Linked DNA regions of Schizosaccharomyces pombe. The protein of the gene in region 1 binds, or shares a complex with, the protein of each later gene. Each region holds a gene or a part of one and is shown on either strand. Other genes may lie near its edges. A codon is read from its position in the direction of its gene.

The links.
Region 2: the proteins of tif225 (region 1) and tif223 are in contact, whole or in part, in a crystal structure (PDB 5B04), measured with the Schizosaccharomyces pombe proteins. Residues at the interface, in NP_594285.1 of Schizosaccharomyces pombe: Glu161 (codon at 2,355), Pro164 (codon at 2,364), Phe165 (codon at 2,367), Arg169 (codon at 2,379), Ser174 (codon at 2,394), Val176 (codon at 2,400), Lys181 (codon at 2,415), Gln190 (codon at 2,442), Asn192 (codon at 2,448), Lys196 (codon at 2,460), His197 (codon at 2,463), Tyr198 (codon at 2,466), Val199 (codon at 2,469), Ser200 (codon at 2,472), Met201 (codon at 2,475), Pro203 (codon at 2,481), Phe206 (codon at 2,490), Glu210 (codon at 2,502), Glu211 (codon at 2,505), Leu212 (codon at 2,508), Glu213 (codon at 2,511), Val214 (codon at 2,514), Arg215 (codon at 2,517), Asn216 (codon at 2,520), Asp217 (codon at 2,523); in NP_594962.2 of Schizosaccharomyces pombe: Leu195 (codon at 628), Glu200 (codon at 613), Gly215 (codon at 568), Ser216 (codon at 565), Asp217 (codon at 562), Phe218 (codon at 559), Thr219 (codon at 556), Phe220 (codon at 553), Arg221 (codon at 550), Met222 (codon at 547), Ser223 (codon at 544), Leu225 (codon at 538), Trp226 (codon at 535), Pro229 (codon at 526), Arg230 (codon at 523), Val231 (codon at 520), Thr232 (codon at 517), Leu233 (codon at 514), Asn234 (codon at 511), Thr235 (codon at 508), Asn236 (codon at 505).

The regions. Positions count from the first base shown.
Region 1 is NC_003424.3:3,669,463-3,673,215, reverse strand, and holds the start of tif225 (translation initiation factor eIF2B epsilon subunit tif225), read left to right. Parts: upstream 1-1,709; 5' UTR 1,710-1,718; coding exon 1,719-1,776; exon of another isoform or gene 1,777-1,820; coding exon 1,821-1,882; exon of another isoform or gene 1,883-1,925; coding exon 1,926-2,050; exon of another isoform or gene 2,051-2,119; coding exon 2,120-3,753. Other genes in the region: V-type ATPase inhibitor and disassembly protein in response to oxidative stress Oxr1, read left to right, coding at 117-683. UniProt on the Schizosaccharomyces pombe protein: Acts as a component of the translation initiation factor 2B (eIF2B) complex, which catalyzes the exchange of GDP for GTP on the eukaryotic initiation factor 2 (eIF2) complex gamma subunit.
Region 2 is NC_003424.3:5,365,255-5,369,007, reverse strand, and holds the start of tif223 (translation initiation factor eIF2B gamma subunit tif223), read right to left. Parts: upstream 1,604-3,753; 5' UTR 1,461-1,603; coding exon 1,312-1,460; exon of another isoform or gene 1,243-1,311; intron 1,188-1,242; coding exon 917-1,187; exon of another isoform or gene 794-916; intron 791-793; coding exon 349-790; exon of another isoform or gene 308-348; coding exon 165-307; intron 94-164; coding exon 1-93. Other genes in the region: amidophosphoribosyltransferase Ade4, read left to right, coding at 3,047-3,753. UniProt on the Schizosaccharomyces pombe protein: Acts as a component of the translation initiation factor 2B (eIF2B) complex, which catalyzes the exchange of GDP for GTP on the eukaryotic initiation factor 2 (eIF2) complex gamma subunit.

The sequences.
Region 1 (3,753 bases):
ATTCACAATTATTTATTTGTTTACTTATTACATAAGGCTAGTGGATCACCTTAATCTTTCTAACTACACACACCATAAGAGTACAAAATTTTAGCAAGTATTTTGTATCAATTGAAATGTTTAACTTTACAAGACAGTATAGTGTTAAAGACGGCTTAATAACAGATGAATTGGCCAGTCACATCGTTGAGAACTTGCCAGCAAGATATGCTTCTGCTGAAACTTGGAAACGAATCTATTCGTTGCAACATGACGGCGCATCTCTTCAAACAATGTACTTAGCCTGCGAAAAGGAAAAAGCTCGAAGCGGCCATCCTAAAGGGGCTTGCATTTTAGCTGTGCGCGATACAGACGGCGATGTTTTTGGAGTTTTTATCCCTGATTATTTAATTCCTGCACCTCATTACTTTGGTTCCGAGGAAACCTTCTTGTGGAAATATTTTCCTCCCAAAAAGTATGTACATTACCCTTTCGTAGGAAATTCCAATTTTGTTGCATATTGCACCAAAAGCTTTTTGGCATTTGGTGGGGGTAATGGAAGATACAGCCTTTGGCTTGATGGCTCTCTAGAGTACGCTTACTCTAGTCGTACTCCTGCATTCGAAAACAATCCTTTGAGCTATCGTGGCTGTCCTGACCAACGAATCCAAATCGTGGACATCGAGCTCTGGGTATTGGAGTAATATCAACTAACGAATGAAAAGAAAAAAGAAAATAAAAGATGGACTCGGAAATGTGCATCAGCCCAAGTTTTATATTTATATCAAGATTAATATTTTACCGTGCTTTCTTTATGACTAATTTATTCAACCAAAGACAATTTTATGCTGACTCTATGCATTGATTATTATTCTTAATTCAAGTTAACTCGTTGATTTGCATGTTCAATCAATGAATATCGAGTTTACCAGAAATTCGAGCCGTAGGACTCTTCCCTCCCATTTGTGATGTATAGCTTTCTATCATCAGCTAATTTTTAATACTTCTTCTCAATTCCGGAAGATTACGTTTGTTAATTGATCAAGCATGAATATCCTTGCTATTAATTTCTTTACGCCTTATGCATTGAGTGAACGAATCAAATGAAGAGCATCCCCAATATCTTCTCCCCAATTGTCTATTATTTATTAATTTTCTCTTTTTCTATTCATAACTTTTAATGCTACACTTAGTATATTTATTCACGTGGTTGCTTTTCATCAACAATTCGTATCGTCCCTAATTGACGAATCGATTTCTACCATCCACTTTATATCAGTAATAATAATTATTATGAAGTTTTATTTATTATGTTTCTTTTTGATTACCGTGTAAACACTTGAAACCTGTATTCAAATCTCGATAAACTACCATAAGATTAGTAAAATGTTTGCAACCACTACCCAATTGTAGAAAACAAATTGACAAAATTTACCAACTTAACAGGATAAATCACCGTTTATATCTTCTGTTTATTATGTGGAATTTTTGTGGTTACTTAAATAAAACCACTTTCTTTCGCCAATAAACTATAAAAGAAATGAGCTATGCAAATTTAATATCCTAAATTTAATTACTCTTTGATTATTAACGTCTTTATAAATTCCTTTTTAGTCTCTAGTTGATGAATTGTTTAGAATAATCTTTAAGTTATAAGGCAGTGGAGCACGGCATCCTTAAATGACTGTTTGGGCTTAAATGATATTGAGAAATATGTCTAATCCCTCTACATTGTCGAAATGCCTCCATCCAAAGGGCTGAATGGCAAGCTAGAAAAGCCAAAACACGCTCTGCAAGGTAATGTTTTTGGGATTCAAAAAGTGTTTGTTACTAATTTTTAGCGATTGTTTTGTCGGATTCTTATAATTATCGGTTTCGCCCTCTTACATTAGATAAACCTCGCGTATGCAATTACCAGTGTACACTTTAAGTACTAATATTATTAGTGTCTTCTTCCTTTAGCAAATACCCCTTTAATAGAGTACACTTTTGAGTTTTTGGCATTGGCCGGGGTGCAAGAAGTTTATGTATTTTGCTGTGCCCATGCAGGACAAATTCGAGAATATATAGAGTATGTGCTAAATTGAGGTCTTAAATTCGAATTTCTGATACGATATAACTAACACAATATAACCCACAGAAAGTCAAAGTGGAATCTTCCCTCTTCCCCCTTTAGTGTAAACACGATTGTGTCAAGAGAATCTCTGTCGGTTGGTGATGCTTTAAGAGAGCTCGATTCAAAACAGCTAATTACCTCCGATTTCATACTCGTATCAGGCGATGTGGTATCCAATGTGCCTCTAAACGAAGTTTTGAAAGAACATCGGAAGCGCCGTGAAGATGATAAAAATGCTATTATGACAATGGTTGTACGAGAAGCAAGTCCATTTCATCGTACACGCGCCCGTACAGAGAGTTCTGTTTTCGTGATAGATAAAAAGACCAGCCAATGCGTGCATTATCAAGCTAACGAAAGGGGAAAACATTATGTTTCTATGGATCCCGAAATCTTTAATGAGCATGAAGAGTTGGAGGTTCGAAATGATTTGATTGACTGTCAAATTGACATTTGCTCCAATGATGTACCTGCCCTTTTTACTGAAAACTTTGATTACCAAGACATTCGAAAAGACTTCGTATATGGTGTTTTAACCTCTGATCTTTTAGGAAAAAAGATTCATTGCCATGTTGCTAAAGAAAATTATGCAGCTCGTGTTCGTAGTCTTCAAACTTATGATGCTATTAGCAAAGATGTTCTTTCTCGATGGGTCTATCCTTTTGTTCCCGATAGCAATCTTCTTAACCAAACTTTTAGTTATCAAAGACATCAGATTTATAAGGAAGAAGACGTTGTTCTTGCTCGTTCTTGCATTATTAAGGCACGAACTTTGATCGGTGCCTATACCAAAGTCGGTGATGCGTCTGTGGTTGCGAATACTATCATTGGTAGGAATTGTACCATAGGCAGCAATTGTAGTATAGACAGTGCTTTCCTTTGGGAAGATGTTGTCATTGGAGATAATTGTCGAATTGGCAAAGCCATTCTTGCCAATTCTGTAAAAATTGGAAATAATTGTTCAATTGAAGATGGTGCTATAGTAGCTGCAGGCGTTGTTATTGGGGATAATACAATAATTGAAAAAAATAAGCGTCTTACAACTTTCGAGAGTCACTCTCAAGGAACTTTGAACGATCCATCTTTGGTAGGGATTGGTGGACGTGGTCAAGAATATCATGCCGAAGAGGATTCTGATGATGAGGGAGAGTTTATGGAGGCTTCAGGGCTTATTGAAAGTACAAATGAGTTACATTTATCTGATTCAGAATCTTCAGAGACAAGTTCGTCTTCTGAAGAAGATATGGAATTTATTCCCTTTTCAGCTAGACGCGATTCTGCCAATACAATTAACTCAGAGGATTTCGATGAAGGAGATTTCAACAAGGAAGCTCAGCAGAGTCTTGAACGTGCCTTTGAAGAAAACCACCAAATTGATATTGCTGCTCTTGAACTCAATACCCTCCGAATGGCCATGAATGCCAACTATCACGAGGTGCGATCCGCAATTGTTCTTGCTCTTTTAAGGCGTATCATGCACTTAGATGTATCCCCCAAGGAGGCACTAGCAAAAGTAATGACACGTTGGGGTCCATTGCTTGCAAAACTGACATTTAGCCATGAAGAGCAAGTTGACAACGTATTAACGCTGCAGAAGTACTGTGTCCGTTTGAGTATGACTCGGCACTTTTTACAACTTTTGGGATATTTCTACCAAT
Region 2 (3,753 bases), 1.7 Mb from region 1:
GGTACCTTCATTCACCATACAATCGGCACCGACCAGTGCTCTTTCGGACACGGTGACATCTACAAGGCGTTGTTCTGGAGTAAGTTTGGCGATCTAGTTTGCTGTTAGAGATATTGGATGAAACTGCTAAAAAGCGAGATGAAGCTCAGCTTTCGAAAACATACGCATTTATTAAGTTCGAAATAGTTAGGTAAATTATTAGCCCTAGAACAAATAATCCCATCTTTGGCAATTAAAGCATTAATTTTAATTTCCTGTGAGGATAATCCCCCATCATAATTATCAATATTGTTAGGAGATGACAAAACTTTAATTGTTAGAAAATAGTTAATTAAAAAAAGCACTTACATCTTTGAATGTTCTCTCGTACAGTAAAGGATTTCTGATATTGACATTTAACAAGATACGGGATGAGATCTCCACGAATGCTAGAAATAGATTCTTTCTCCCGGATCAAATCAATAACCCAGTGTTTAAATACAAATATATGGGCATCCGAAAGGTTTGTATTTAACGTAACCCTTGGGTGTTTCCACAACAAAGACATTCTAAATGTAAAATCACTGCCCACGTCTGCGGAACTTTTGGCATACAATAGTCTGCTCGTCTTCTCTTCAATTCCAATCAGTTGTTTTGCATCAATCTCTTTAGATTGACTTGTAATATGCTCATATTTTAACACTGGACTATATACAGCCAGTGCTGAAGGGTTATCAAGGCGAAACTTATCCAAACCGTATATGGGAGGGAGACCAACTATACTATCACAACTGAGACACACAAAGTCATTCTGGTGGGTATCGGTTAGCATTTTTTGTGACTTTAAGACGAGTAATTAAATTGCAGAATGAGAGAGAAAAGATCAAAAAGTCTAAGAACACATGCATATCTACTTATACATAAAAATAAATCATACCTTTATAAGATGGGATACAGCACGAAGAGCATCGGCAGAGCTTTTAGAATCATCTAAAATAGTCGGTGCTTCCACGTGAATACGCATATGTCCCTCGTAGCCAGATCGTAACCAAGCATTGATATGGGCTTCCGCTTCTTCCATGCAAATAAGAATAGCAGAAGTAAATCCAGCAGCTTCAAGCCAATATAATGGGTAGTGAAGCATCGGTTTATTGCCGATAGGTAATAAAGCCTTGGGAAGTGCATCGCTTCCAGTCAAAGGATATAAACTAAAACATGGTTAGTATTTTCTTATTGTTATTTTATCTTTTTTAAGTGTTGATGAAGATAATATGTGCGAAGTCATCATTATCCAAATCGTTAAGTAGTCAGTACTACACTTGTTTGTTTTACCTATTGCCAAATCCTGCAAAAACAACAGCTTGAAATTCAATCGGAATAGACTGTAATTGAATATTCCCCCGATTTCGTCCACCAGAAATAGGTCCAAGGATTGAAGGGCTACTGGCTAAAGGAAGTGCAGCATGCTCATACAACGACATTGTGAGATGTTGTTCTTCAAGGCGTTGGATGCTTTTACAAAAGGTTTTTACCTAAAAGGATGCTTTGAAGCCAAAATCTTTTATAACCTGATAGAAGACGAATTATTGGGTTTTTTTGCAGTACGCCAATATTTGATGAAGATGGAAAACCTTACTTTCCTAGATCCCTACTAACGAGCCAAAAGTTTACACGTTACACATCACTATCTGAAATAAAAATGTGCTGAATTTATATTTGTGTTTAGAAAAATGTATTCATGAAATATGAACTATTGATGATTTTTTTTTAAAATGATTTACCAACTCAAAATGTGGAGCTGCTTGAAAACTAATTATTGCTTTGCACTTGTAATTTTGTTTAATGTGCAATATTAAAAAAGATGTTTTAATAATCAACGATTTATAAATCGGTACGTTTTCGCGATCCTGGTTTATAATCAATCCGATAGTAAAAAATATCAATCAAGCGCTCAGAAAATGATCCTCTGTACACCAATTAAGGAACAAATATTTGAAGCCGGTTAGTAAACTATTATTTTGAGGAATCAGAAGATTAGAGATACAGTACATTGTGTATTGTTTTCATTAGTTTTTTAAGTTTAAAAACCATTGGACTACTGCAATCGTAACAAGTTGAACTAAAAGTTTTGGATTAGATTACCCATAGCTCTCATCTCGGTGATTAATGTATTGTTGTTAACTACCGAGTAAAGAAGGAAGAAAAACCAGAACATTGAAAGATTTTATAACAAATAAATAGTAATGGGATACCTCCGGTAAAGCTCAATAATAAGTTGATGTGTATGCGGCATTACTGTAACACTGCACCACTCTTAACTTCATCGAATTTTTTTTGATATAAGAAGGTTTTATTTAAAGATATATTTTTAAGCTTAAAAAATTTTTTTTGGCAACAAAAATAGCAAACAATTTAATATCATCTACCCTGTCAGCTAAGTAGCAAGCTATACCTGTTACCTATATTAACGTGCGCATATCCCACCTCTCTTTAAGCTTCTATTTAGCGAATCGTTCATCACAATCTTGAGCAGTCATAGTTTCGACTCATACTTCACTATCATTTAAGGCGGACAATAAATTAATTTATACGGCAGCAAAATTTTGCCTTAACAATATACCCAACTACGGTGTTTGTTCAGCGCGTACCTGAAAATCTTTTTTTTTTTGTTTCGTACGCGTTTTAAAAAGTAAGTTAATATAGATATTGATTTTCCAACGCCGCAGTACTTGCCTATGATGATTACCGTTTATTTAGATGCTAGACTTCTGAATTTCATCTTATGTAGCTACAAGGTTTTCTGAGGTCTGCTTAATTGATTAAAATTTTTTATTTTCTGTGATGGTAACATACAACTCATTTTACGGTCGGTACAAAAAAATTGAAATTATATTCCAAGTATTCTCAAACTTTGATTGCTGTCCGAATAGAACAGTCCGACTCATATTATTTTAATCAAGTTATAGCAATTTGACTGGGTGCTGTTTTTTCTTTTGTACATTTAAACCTATCATTTTATTATCTTTTGTATTCAATTCACAACCGAAGCTCTAACAAGTTTTAGAAAATGTGCGGAATTTTGGCGTTAATGCTTGCTGACCCTCATCAACAGGCATGTCCTGAAATTTATGAGGGTCTTTACAGTTTGCAGCATCGGGGTCAAGATGCCGCCGGTATTGTAACCGCTGGAAACAAAGGTCGTCTTTACCAATGCAAGGGATCCGGCATGGTTGCCGATGTTTTTAGTCAGCATCAACTTCGCCAACTCGTAGGTAGTATGGGTATTGGTCATTTGCGCTATCCTACTGCTGGAAGTTGTGCTCACTCTGAAGCACAACCCTTTTATGTTAACTCTCCTTATGGTCTTGTGTTGGGCCATAATGGTAATTTAATTAATGGACCCGAATTACGACGCTTTTTGGACACTGAGGCCCATCGTCATGTAAACACTGGATCTGATTCTGAGCTTTTGCTTAACATCTTTGCTTACGAGCTTCAACGGTTGGATAAATTTCGTATAAACGAAAATGATATTTTCGAAGCTTTGCGTAATGTATACGATCGCGTTAATGGTGGTTATGCATGTGTTGCTATGATCGCAGGCTTGGGTGTTTTGGGATTCCGTGATCCCAATGGCATTCGTCCTTTAGTGATCGGTGAACGTGATACCCCCGAAGGAAAGGATTACATGCTTGCTAGTGAGAGTGTTGTATTGACTCAATTTGGATACCGTACATTCAGAGATATTCGCCCCGGTGAGTGTGTCTTTATTCG